Linked DNA regions of Oryctolagus cuniculus. The protein of the gene in region 1 interacts with the protein of each later gene in a pairwise test. Links are inferred from orthologs where the notes say so. Each region holds a gene or a part of one and is shown in the gene's direction. Other genes may lie near its edges.

Region 1 (3,744 bases):
GCTGCTACATTCCAGCGCTCTGAAGCCCGCAGCGCGGTGCTGCTATGAGCAGACTTTCGGTGAGTAGCTGTCGCCCGTCCAGTCTCTGGGGAGGGGCGGGTGTGTACCTTTCGCCCGTCCGGTCTCCCGGGGCGGGTGTGTACCTGTCGCCCGTCTAGTCTCCCGGGCGCATACCTGGGAGCGAACCTGCCTGGTAACATCTGGGGACACAGCCGGATGATGTTAGCAGCTGCAGCCTAGGAGGGCTGCGAGTTCTCCGCACCCTCGCCAACACTCGTGAACGCTTGGTTTTCAAGAATTCGGACTTCGGGCTTTCTTGCCCCAGCCCCTGGGCAGGTGGTAGGAATGCATCAGCCTGAGCCCCACCGGGTCAGTTGGGGGCGATCGGGGGGTCAAGCAGGGATGGGGAAGGGACGGGAAGACCCGACTGTTCCCTCTCGCAGCCTGCGGGGTGCCGGGAGCCCTGCACACGCGGCCCTTTCCCGTCTGGCCCAGCCCTGAGACGTGGGCAGCGCGAAGCCCCGCCCCTTCCTGGGAGTCGAACCCTCCCGGGCTCCGCCCCGGCCACGCCCTCCGCTGGGGGAGGGGTCGGAAGCCGAGTGGGGGGCGCGGGCGAGAGGAGGGTCGCGAAGGCGTTGGCACCGGAGCCTGGCGTCCCTGGCCCCCGAGTGCACCCTGTCCCTGCTTCGCGGGGGCCTGCCATTCATTTGGGGCCAAAAGGGACCTGCGCCCCCGCCCCCGACCTCGGCTTGGAGGGCTGAGCGCGGGGGCGGGGGAGGCCGTGCAGGAGCGCAGGGACCACCTGGCGGGAGATGGCGGGGCGGGGGGGGGGGTAGAAGGGAGAGATGGGCAGCTCTGCTCCCGGGACCCGGGAGCGTCTCGTGCCGGGGCGAGGGTCGGGGGCCCGGGGTGAAGTTTTGGGGACGTCTGGAGTGACGGTCTGGGGGCACAGAATACAATTCTGGGGGGGTCGAGTGAGGGGATGGAGGCCCCAGGGCTGGGTGGGGCCTCGGATCCTACCTTCGGGGAGGCTCAGAATGAGGGTCTGGGGGTGCGGGACTGAGCAGTGGGTGCGCAGAAAGGAATTCTGCGCGCGTAGGTAGCAGCCAGGTGCGCGGGATGACGTTTCTGATGAGGGCCTGCCCCCCCCCCCGAGTGAGTCTGGGGGCTTGGCATCCAGGTCCATGGCACCACGATCGAGCGCTGGGGGACCCTGGCCCGGCGCCGGGAGGCGGCTCCGGGAGGCGCCGCGGGGGACCGGGCGGGGGCCTGCGGCCGCCGGCCGGGGGCGGAGAAGCGGGGGGTCGGGGTCCCTCCCCCTGGCGCGGGCTCAGGAATCCGCCGAAGGGCGGGCGGAGGCGCCGGGGTGGGCCGCACCGCGGCGGGCGGGCGGGCGGGGGGCGCTTCCTGGGGCCGCGCGTCCAGGGAGCTGCGCCGTCCGCCCGTCCGTCCGCCCGCAGGCACTGTTGGAGCCGCCGGAGCCGCGGGGGCGTCGCGGCCGAGTGAGTGGCGGCCCGTGGGAGGGGGGCGCGGGCCGGAGTCTCGGCAGAGTCGGCGGCCGCCGGGCCGAGAGGCCCGCACCGCCAGGGAACCGGGCGGGGGCGGAGTGGGCCCGGAACCCGGGCCTACGAAACGAGTGGGCCCCGGGTCCTGCGGGGCTGCAGGGCCCCAGGCTCGGACCTGAGCCGGAGCTGGCGGGGCCGGGGCCCGGTGCGGGGGGATGGGGCGGCCGTGGCAGAGGCCCCTGACCCGCCCGCCCCCTCCCGGCCGCAGGATGCTCCCCTTCGCCTCCTGCCTCCCTGGGTCTCTGCTGCTCTGGGCGCTGCTGCTGCTGCTCTTGGGGGCAGCGTCACCGCAGGACTCCGAGGAACCGGACAGCTACACGGTGGGGACAGCGGGGGCGGGTGGCCTACCACTGGGAGACCAGGGTCCCCGGAGGCTGTTCTTGGGGGAGATTCGCCCCCCCAGCCCGGCCGGTAGAGCAGCTGGGGGCCGTTGTTTGGAACAGACTGGGAGGGTGGCCCAGGCTCAGGCCCTGCTATTGGCCTGGCCAGTTGGAGGGGACCCTGGGTGACCACTGCAGCCTCCGGTTTCCTTCCAGGAATGCACCGATGGCTATGAGTGGGACCCAGACAGCCAGCACTGCCGGGGTGAGTGTGACAGGGGGACCAGCCCCCCAGGAGCAGGGACCAGAGCCCAGGGGGCCTGTGCTCTACCCAGCCCAGCAGGGCAGGGCGGCCCCTCCCTCTCCAAGAACCCCGGTAACCCTGTCCCCCCCCCCCGGGGTAGATGGGAGAGCCACTGGGGGAGCCCCGGAGCAGCTGGTCCCATGGAAGGCTTTGCCCCATCGCAACCTGGGAGGGCGGTGTCCACGGGGGGGGGGGGGGCTGCAGATCACTGCCCGGCTGAGCCAGGGCCAGGACCCCCTTGGAGGCAGCGTGGGGGCAGCAGTGGCAACCCCTTCCCCACTTCCAGCCTGTGGCGGGGCCGTGTGGAGGGGAGGGGTCCTGGGTACACCAGGCTGCCTCAGCTTGTGGAGCTCAGGGAGGGCCAAGCGGGCTCCTGCCTCGCCCCCCCCGCCCCGCCCGGGGCCGGCCCCCCTCCCGGGACCGGCTGTGCCGAGCAGGCCGCCTCCCGCAGATGTGAATGAGTGCCTGACCATCCCCGAGGCCTGCAAGGGCGAGATGAAGTGCATCAATCACTACGGGGGCTACCTGTGTCTGCCGCGCTCCGCTTCCGTCATCAACGACCTGCACGGCGAGGGCCCCCCGCCGCCTGTGCCCCCCGCTCAGCACCCCAACTCCTGCCCGCCAGGCTATGAGCCCGACGAACAGGAGAGCTGCGTGGGTGAGTCCCTCTGGGCCCGGGCGTCCCATGCTGTCGCCACGCTTCTCGCAACTTGGGCTCGCGTTCTTGCGTTGCTCCAAGCCCTTACTGATGGCTCCTGGGGGCCACCAGGGGCTGCCCGGCCCCTCATCCAGGCCCTCGCTGTGTCCGGGGCCAGTCCCAGGGGACCCTCCCCTCACGTGCTGCAGAGACCCTGCAGGAGCCTTGATCTGGACTGCACCCCTGGAAGCCGCGGGCCCTGGCGGGGGGTGTCCTGGGATCAGGGTCGCTGGGGGCTGAGGGTGTGGACAGAGCCTTGTCTCCTGCTGCCTCCCAGGCTGGTGGGCGGGTGGGAGGGGTCTCCTGTGCCCTCGTGGTGGCTTCTGGACTGCGTCCTCCCACGCTGGGTGCCTGCCTCGCCGGATGGCGTGAGCGACCCCAGGCGGAGGCTCAGGGGTGTCTGCTGCAGATGTGGACGAGTGTGCGCAGGCCTTGCACGACTGTCGGCCCAGCCAGGACTGCCACAACCTGCCTGGCTCGTACGAGTGCACCTGCCCGGATGGCTACCGCAAGATCGGGCCGGAGTGTGTGGGTGAGTGCGGCCAGCAGCCTGTCTGTTCCTGAGCCCCCAACTCCAGCCCACCCCCGGGCGTCACCCCAGCCCCCGGCCCCCTCTGCCTTCCTGCCATCAGACACAGAGGACTGCATGGACACCGTGTGTGTGCGCATGCGCATGTGTGTGTGTGTGTGTGCCTGTGCGTGCGTGCGTCCTCTGGCTGGCTGGCCCCGTCCAGCTGCCCAGAGACATCCGGGTCTGTGGGCAGTGAGGCCTCGAGTGGGGGCCCCACTGACTGGCGCCTTCCGCGGCCTCCCTCCCCGCCGCCGTCGCAGACGTTGACGAGTGCCGCTACCGCTACT
Region 2 (3,644 bases), on another chromosome or scaffold:
ATAGATAGATAAATAGAATAGATAGATATAGATATAGATATAGATATATAGATATCTTCCTGGAATTTCTATATAGAAGGGTCTAGTAAGTCACTGAAGATATATATATATATATATGATATATATATGATATGTATTATATGTTGATCCTCAAGTATCATCTATAAAGGGGCCATAGTTGAAGCTGTAAGGAAAAGGATAGGTAGGGTTCACTGAGGGGGACTGAGTATAGGCTCAAAAGAACTAAAGAGAGAAACATAGGAAAATTCAAACAGTAATGGGTAGGAGGAGCAGTCAAAAAGATAAAGAGTCAGGGATGGTGCTGTATATGTAGTACAGCCCCAGCTTGCAGTGCTGGCATCCCATATGGGCGCCGGTTCAAGTCCTGGCTGCTCCCCTTCTGATCCAGCTCCCTGCTAATGTACCTGGGAAAGCAGTGGAAGAAGGCCCAAGTGCTTGGCCCCCTGCACCCACATTTCCATGGCTCCTGGCTTCAGCCTGGCCCAGGCAATCATTGTGGCCATTTGGTAGTGAACCTACACATGAAAGATCTCTCTTTGCCTTTCAAATAAATAAAAACATATCTTTTTTAAAAAAGATAAGGACAAAAAAGGGGGGGGCCGGTGCCGTGGCTCACTTGGTTAATCCTCCACCTGCAGCACCGGCATCCCATATGGGCACTAGGTTCTAGTCCCGGTTGCTCCTCTTCCAGTCCAGCTCTCTGCTGTGGCCCTGGAGGGCAGTGAAGGATGGTCCAACTGCTTGGGCCCCTGCAGCCACATGGGAGACCAGGAGGAAGCACCTGGCTCCTGGCTTCAGATCGGCGCAGTGCCAGCCATAGCGGCCATTTGGGGGGTGAACCAACGGAAGGAAGACCTTTCTCTCTGTCTCTCTCTCTCACTGTCCACTCTACCTGTCAAATAAAAAAAAAAAGATAAGGAGTCATCTGAGAGGCAGGAATGCATGGAGGTATAGAGCCCATGGGACCAGGGAACTTTGGAAAAGGAGTGTGAGAGGCATCATCATCAAAAGGTCAAGCAGAATCAGGGGCAGCCTTCTGATAAAACATTCTACACAAGACAGTGGACACAGATACCAAAGGAGCACTGATCAAGGAGTAGCATGACATGGAGAGTAAAATTAGAAAATACCCAGCACTCTTTAGAACAGTTCAAACAAGGAGTAGTGGAGTGGAGAAAGGAATGGATGTGGAGTTTGGACCCCTGAGTTCTGATACCAGCTTTGCTATGTACTAGCTATGTGCATTTGGGCAAGCCACTGCTGCCCTCTGAGCCTCTGTTTCCTGATCTATACAATTATCTCTAAGTCCCTCCTCGCCTTGATTGAGGCATGTCACCTACTTCTTGATGTTAAGTTTTCTCTTCCCTGAATTTCTTTCAGGTACCGTAGTGAAAAGATGACCCTGAGCTATGCTGAATACCTTGCTCATCGCCAGCATCATCACTTCCAAAATGGCATTGGGCATCCCCTTCCACCATACAACCATTATTCCTGACACTGAGCCGCACAACCAGTCACTGGGCCTCTCTGCAGACCTCTTCCCAGGAGACCCTACACCTTCTTGGTCTAGCTATCTCTTTTACTGTACCATTTTATGATGATAGTTTCCGTTGCCATGGTGAAACTTTGACGTAGTCAATTAAGATCATCATGGTAACGGATAGGAAATGGCATTTAAGAAGATCCTGTTTTATTATTTTAGATCATTGACTTTTTTTGCAGCATATATAACTTTTGGGTTTTTCTTTCCTTACAATATTATATAGAATTTTGCTTTTCTTTCTGAGTCAGGTTTCTGTCCTCACCCCCCTTCCTTCCTTCTTTTGACTGTGGATGGAAGAAAGTGTGAAGTTTAAGGATTTTATTTAGGTTTGTGTCAAGCCTTCCTCAGTAACATAGTTACTTTTTGATAGCAGAATTTGGTTATCATTCGTATCAACTTTCAGGTATTTGTGTATTACTCATGAATTTGTCTGAAATTCACATTGCTACGAGAGCGTAGTATTTGGTTCTTCACTCTGTAAGTATGTGTTTTTCCCATGGTTAAAACATATGAACTTTAGTTCTAATCTTGAGCATTCAGAGGCCCATGATAGGCCTTGTCACAGAGAGTGAAAAATCCTTTATGCCCTACTGTGCTGGTTATCATAGAAAGGAGAGATTGCCTCATCACTTTATAGAACCAATTTATAAACTAAAACACAGTTTTAAGAAAATACAAGTTACCTTTCAAATAGGCCACAGAAACCATTTTGAAGAGCAGCAAATATTAGAAGAGAGCAGATACAGAATTTAGTGCCTTTAAGAATATAATTAAATGGAATTAAGAGGGGGTAAGAAAAAGGCAATTTAGAGAAATATTCTTATAAAAAGTTTATTGTTGCTATATGTGAAACAACAGATTAGACAAATTCCTTACTCTTAAGTATTTTTTTAAGATGGAAAAATTATTTTGAGCAAATAACCAAAAAGAGACATTTTTCTATTTTATATTAATTTAAATTTGTTAGCTTTAGGTTTCAATAAATCATCATTGGCCAGATACAATTTTAGCTGCCATCTAAGGATATGGTAAAGATAATCTAAGGAAATATAAATTCATATATGCCGTGATTTCAGATATGTTTGTCATGGGGTTATATAATAATACTAGAGTTTTAGAGATACTATAAAATAGTTTGAATCTCTTTGTGCACTACAGATTCTTGATTGAATCATGTTTACTATGTTGTTAACATGTATTAGACCTGTAAAAATAGAGTTGGTATTCAGAAATGCTATAGGTAGAGCCCAGCTCATTTGCAGAGCTAGTCTTCCCATGATGCATATGAAGAGAACTTAACAGATGTCAATAGGAGGGCTGTACGTATTTCCCCAGGAAAAATAACAGAAAATTCTAGAGAAAGACGATTTTTCATTGTTTGGTAGTAAATATATATATATATATATATATATATATATATATACACACACACACACACATATACTTGGGAAAATACATACTTTTTAAAACAGGAAACAAATATATCAAGTGATAAAATATGCCCCAGAATGGATACTATAAAACTGCAAGAAATGTCACTGAATATCAAGTTGATACAGCTTATATATTTAGTTGCTGTGACAAGTGACAGACTGCTAGTTTAGAATTCAAAAATTATTTTCTAGTTTGTGATATAATTGGCTAAATTCCTTCCGCTTGCCTCTGGGGCAGAGCAAACTGCTGTAGCTTTTGATGAGAGTTCTTAGATGTTTGTTGGTATTCCTTCATCCACAGCATCCATTGTTGAAATAACTATTTTCAGTTGCCTTAACTAAGAAGCCAATTGTTAGCCTGAAATACAATCTAGGTAGCCAGTTCTATTGAGCTGAGAGATAAGTCAGAATAAGTTAGCTAACATCGGGCTTTGGAAAGGGATTTTTTGAGTCCTGTTGTTTCTACTTGGGGGCATTTTGAAGCAGATTAGTCTTTCAGTAAACAAAACAAATGGCTACCTGATGGAAACTTTCTCTTGCCCTTATAGGGAAACTGAGCACAAGCTAAATGATACTGTCTGCTGCAAAAAAAAAAAAAAAAAAAAAAAAAAAAAGTAAAAAAAAGCAAACTGAAAAGAGACAAAATA
Region 3 (3,744 bases), on another chromosome or scaffold:
TGACAGAATGTCAGAACACGCAGGAAAACAGGGTCAGTACCAAGGGAAACCATAGGAAAATCTTCATGGTGATCAGAGCTATGGCAGGGGGAAACCAGGTCACAAGTTGAACCCTTCTCCTGGAGAGCCCATCCTGGCCATCCCATCCTCTCTGGAAGTGTGCGCCCTCTCCAGCTTATCCTTGCCCATTTAGGCAAGAGATGTCAGTGACAACTGCTTGATGCCAAGGCTGAATTTGGGGATTTCCAACCCTCCTGCCCTCATAGTCCCAAGCCTGGGATGTGAGGAGCGGAGTAGTAGTAACTATCATTCCTGTTGCGAGACACTTACTGAGGGTTATGTAACACTGTTACCGTTCCCACTTTACAGATGAACAAACTAAAGGACAGACATGTCAGGTAGACTGCCTGAGCTCCCACAACTAGTTTAGTCTAGCTGGGATTTGAATTAGCCTCGCAGTTCATGCACTAAATATTAGGCACTATTACATGTATTTTTACAGCTACAGAAAACTAGGATCCAACAGGCTAATTGGTCGAGGTCACACAGCAGGTAGGTTACTAAGACCCCCTGTCTAGAAACTGGCAGTGAGGTTCGTGAGCAGGGCTTGGAAGGTCACCGGCCCCTCCCGGGGCCGCCCTCAGGGATGGGCCATAGTTGGGCGCATTCTGGACCCAGCGCACGGGAGGTATGAGGCCTCCTACCTCGGACATTGGGAGATAGAGGTCCTGGGGGCCTCGGGCCGAGCCCGGCTTTGCTCCCCCCTTGGCGCAGACGCCTGCGTCTTGACCCCTACTGAAGGCCAGGTAGGGAACCTTCACCCGGGTCCCGCGACCCGTGCACCTGCAGGCCTAGCCCGCCCCCGGCCTCTCGGTTCCGCGCCCCCACATCGTCGGGATGCCCAGCGGTTGCTAGGATACCGCGGGCCGTTACGCCGGCGCGGACTGATGACGTAGACGCCGCTTCCGGCTTCTGGCTGAGTTCCCTCCCGGGCCAGGTCAGTGGGACGTCCGAGCTGATCGATCCCGGGCTCCGCGCTCTGAGGTTGGGGGTGGGTTCTGCAAGAGGTGGGCCGGAGGCTCGCACCTCCTCGGGAACTACTCTATGCCCGCCCTCCTTTGGGGACCGACGGGCGTGGGAAAGGGCCCGCCCAAAGGTGGACTGGGGTTGGAGGAAGTGGCCTGGGGCTTTAAGGCACCTGACTGCGGCCTTTTTGGAGCTGGCGTTGTCAGGACCCTTTTTCCCTACACGGAGATCCAGGTTCCGAGACCTGAGCCTAAGCTCTCCGCGCTGGTCCTTCAGGGGTCGTGAGGATTGTGCCGGACCCGCGACTCTGCCGTTTGTTTTCCTTCCAGCATGAGCCACTGGGCCCGCGGCGCCTCGCCCGGAAGAGCCCACTCACCCTGGACCAGTCCCCCGGCAGCTGCAGCCCGTCCTTGAGGAGGATGTTTGAGACATTATGGGCCACGCGCTTTGTGTCTGCTCTCGGGGAACGGTCATCATTGACAATAAGCGTTACCTCTTCATCCAGAAACTGGGGGAGGGGTGAGTGTTTGGAAATCACCTAATCCCCAGGGTTATGGTCGTGGAGGACCGGCGTTCTGCACGGGACAGAGGCAGAAGGGTTTTATCCCTAACCTCTGGGTCACCTGATGGCATCTAGGTGCCTGGTAGTCCAGAGAGTGGGTTCTGGAGCCCCGCCTCCTAGAGCCACATCCGCTTGTCCTTGATAAGCCATTGATTTCTTCCTCCACTAAATGGAGATGCTTATCCCGCCTCACTGATGGCGTTGTGAGGAGTAAATGAGGTCATGGGTTTAGACCGCCCCACACAGTGCATGGTTCATAAGCACCTGATACAGGTGCACAGCGCTGTGTTATGCCCACGTCCACCTCCCCGGTCTCCCTGTGCCTGCTTTGGGGGAGCTCAAGGTGTAACAACCTTCAGCCTTCTCTTAGAGCCGCATCTTGGGAGGGTTTTTACTGAATGGGAGAGACACTGCCGTCTCCCAGAAAAGTCCTCTGAATCCAAGCCCTGTGGGAGATGACCGTGGCCCTTCACTGACCCCTTTGGCCCACAGTGGGTTCAGCTATGTGGACCTAGTGGAGGGGTTACATGATGGACACTTCTACGCCCTGAAGCGAATCCTGTGTCATGAGCAGCAGGACCGAGAGGACGCGCAGCGGGAAGCAGACATGCATCGCCTCTTCCATCACCCCAACATCCTGCGCCTCGTCGCTTACTGCCTGAGGGAGCGAGATGCTAAGCACGAGGCCTGGCTGCTGCTGCCCTTCTTTAAGGTCAGAAATGCTCCTGGCGTGGAGAGGGTTGCCACAGAGCCACCCGCCAGGGGCTGTGTGAGCAGTCAAACGAGCCGGCCAGCGGGGGTCCTGGCCGCTTCAGACTTGAGCTTTAGAGGAGCCCATGTGGGAGTGGGGGGTTTGAGGTCTAGGTGATCGGAGGAGGGCAGATGGGCATTGACGTAGGCACACGATCAGGCCCAGAGACCAGAGGCTCCGGCACCGTCTCCAGCTGTGGGGAAACTCTTGTTGCAGAGAGGGACGCTGTGGGCTGAGATAGAAAGGCTCAAGGACAAGGGCAACTTCCTGACTGAGGATGAAATCCTGCGGCTGCTGCTGGGCATCTGCAGAGGCCTGGAGGCCATTCATGCCAAGGGCTATGCCCACAGGTCAGTGGGAGGGCCCTGTGTGCTCAGGGGGCCCAGGAGCAAGAACCTCACCAAGAGAAAGGGGAGGGCTCTGGGCTCTGCTCTTCTCCCTGTGATCAGCCCCCCGCCCCCCCCCCCCCAGGATTCCAGCTTACATGTCCTTTCTATTTCTCTGCAGGGACCTGAAACCCACCAACATCTTGCTTGGCGATGAGGGACAGCCAGTGTTAATGGATTTGGGTTCCATGAATCAAGCATGCATCCATGTGGAGGGCTCCCGCCAGGCCCTGACCCTGCAAGTAAGAGCCTCGGGTTCCTTTGCCCACCTGTTCCGCACCCTGACCCCTTCTGTTACGTGCCCCAGTTCGGTCACTTGACCCTGGCCTGTGCCCTGCTTTTGAGCTCTGAGGCCACCGTTCTAGGACTGGGCAGCCCAGCGGTGCACCATCTCCTACCGGGCCCCGGAGCTCTTCTCCGTGCAGAGTCACTGTGTTATTGACGAGCGGACTGATGTCTGGGTGAGGAGCATGTGGGCGGGAATCTGCGTGGGGAGGGGCGTGGCTCGGAGGTGCTGTCAGGCAGAGAAGTAGGTCTTTGGTTTCTGTTGCAAGGGGCCCCGGGAACCGCAGCTTGTTGCCATCTCTCTCAACTTCCTTCCTGCAAACTGTCACTGATACTGAAGGAAGTGGTCTCCCTCCCATGAAGTGAGGGCTGCAGAGGTGCCCAGCTCTCTGGGGGTTTCTCTGGGCCCTGGGAGCTCTGTGTGGCTCAGGTTGGCCTATTCTGTTTGGCTTGTGTGGTCTCCTTTCCCCTCAAAAGAAAGGGAAAAGATGCCATCCCCTTTGATCTTTCAGGGACTAACCAAGTTACGTTCAGTCCCTAGGCTGTGTGCTCTATGCCATGATGTTTGGGGAAGGCCCTTATGACATGGTGTTCCAGAAGGGTGACAGCGTGGCCCTGGCTGTGCAGAACCAACTCAGCATCCCGCAGAGCCCCAGGTGAACAAGAGGGGACCAGGCGCTTTGGATGTCTCCCTGCTATTATCCGAGTTGGACCCTTAGCAAGGGGCTGGGGCT

What was found.
Region 2: the proteins of EFEMP2 (region 1) and AMMECR1 interact in binary tests that used the Homo sapiens proteins (3 or more experiments, as listed by UniProt). The two-hybrid records come from large-scale screens. The link is inferred for Oryctolagus cuniculus from reciprocal best matches to the Homo sapiens genes EFEMP2 and AMMECR1.
Region 3: the proteins of EFEMP2 (region 1) and STK16 interact in binary tests that used the Homo sapiens proteins (3 or more experiments, as listed by UniProt). The two-hybrid records come from large-scale screens. The link is inferred for Oryctolagus cuniculus from reciprocal best matches to the Homo sapiens genes EFEMP2 and STK16.

What each region holds. Positions count from the first base shown.
Region 1 is NC_091432.1:5,896,562-5,900,305, forward strand, and holds the start of EFEMP2 (EGF-containing fibulin-like extracellular matrix protein 2), read left to right. Parts: upstream 1-1,330; 5' UTR 1,331-1,502; intron 1,503-1,773; 5' UTR 1,774-1,774; coding exon 1,775-1,885; intron 1,886-2,101; coding exon 2,102-2,150; intron 2,151-2,640; coding exon 2,641-2,847; intron 2,848-3,295; coding exon 3,296-3,418; intron 3,419-3,717; coding exon 3,718-3,744. UniProt on the Homo sapiens protein: Plays a crucial role in elastic fiber formation in tissue, and in the formation of ultrastructural connections between elastic laminae and smooth muscle cells in the aorta, therefore participates in terminal differentiation and maturation of smooth muscle cell (SMC) and in the mechanical properties and wall integrity maintenance of the aorta.
Region 2 is NC_091453.1:83,311,193-83,314,836, forward strand, and holds part of AMMECR1 (nuclear protein AMMECR1), read left to right. Parts: intron 1-1,401; coding exon 1,402-1,516; 3' UTR 1,517-3,644.
Region 3 is NC_091434.1:20,221,794-20,225,537, reverse strand, and holds the start of STK16 (serine/threonine-protein kinase 16), read left to right. Parts: upstream 1-861; 5' UTR 862-997; exon of another isoform or gene 998-1,260; intron 1,261-1,355; 5' UTR 1,356-1,459; coding exon 1,460-1,545; intron 1,546-2,080; coding exon 2,081-2,300; intron 2,301-2,555; coding exon 2,556-2,689; intron 2,690-2,846; coding exon 2,847-2,967; intron 2,968-3,090; coding exon 3,091-3,186; intron 3,187-3,544; coding exon 3,545-3,666; intron 3,667-3,744. UniProt on the Homo sapiens protein: Membrane-associated protein kinase that phosphorylates on serine and threonine residues. In vitro substrates include DRG1, ENO1 and EIF4EBP1. Also autophosphorylates. May be involved in secretory vesicle trafficking or intracellular signaling.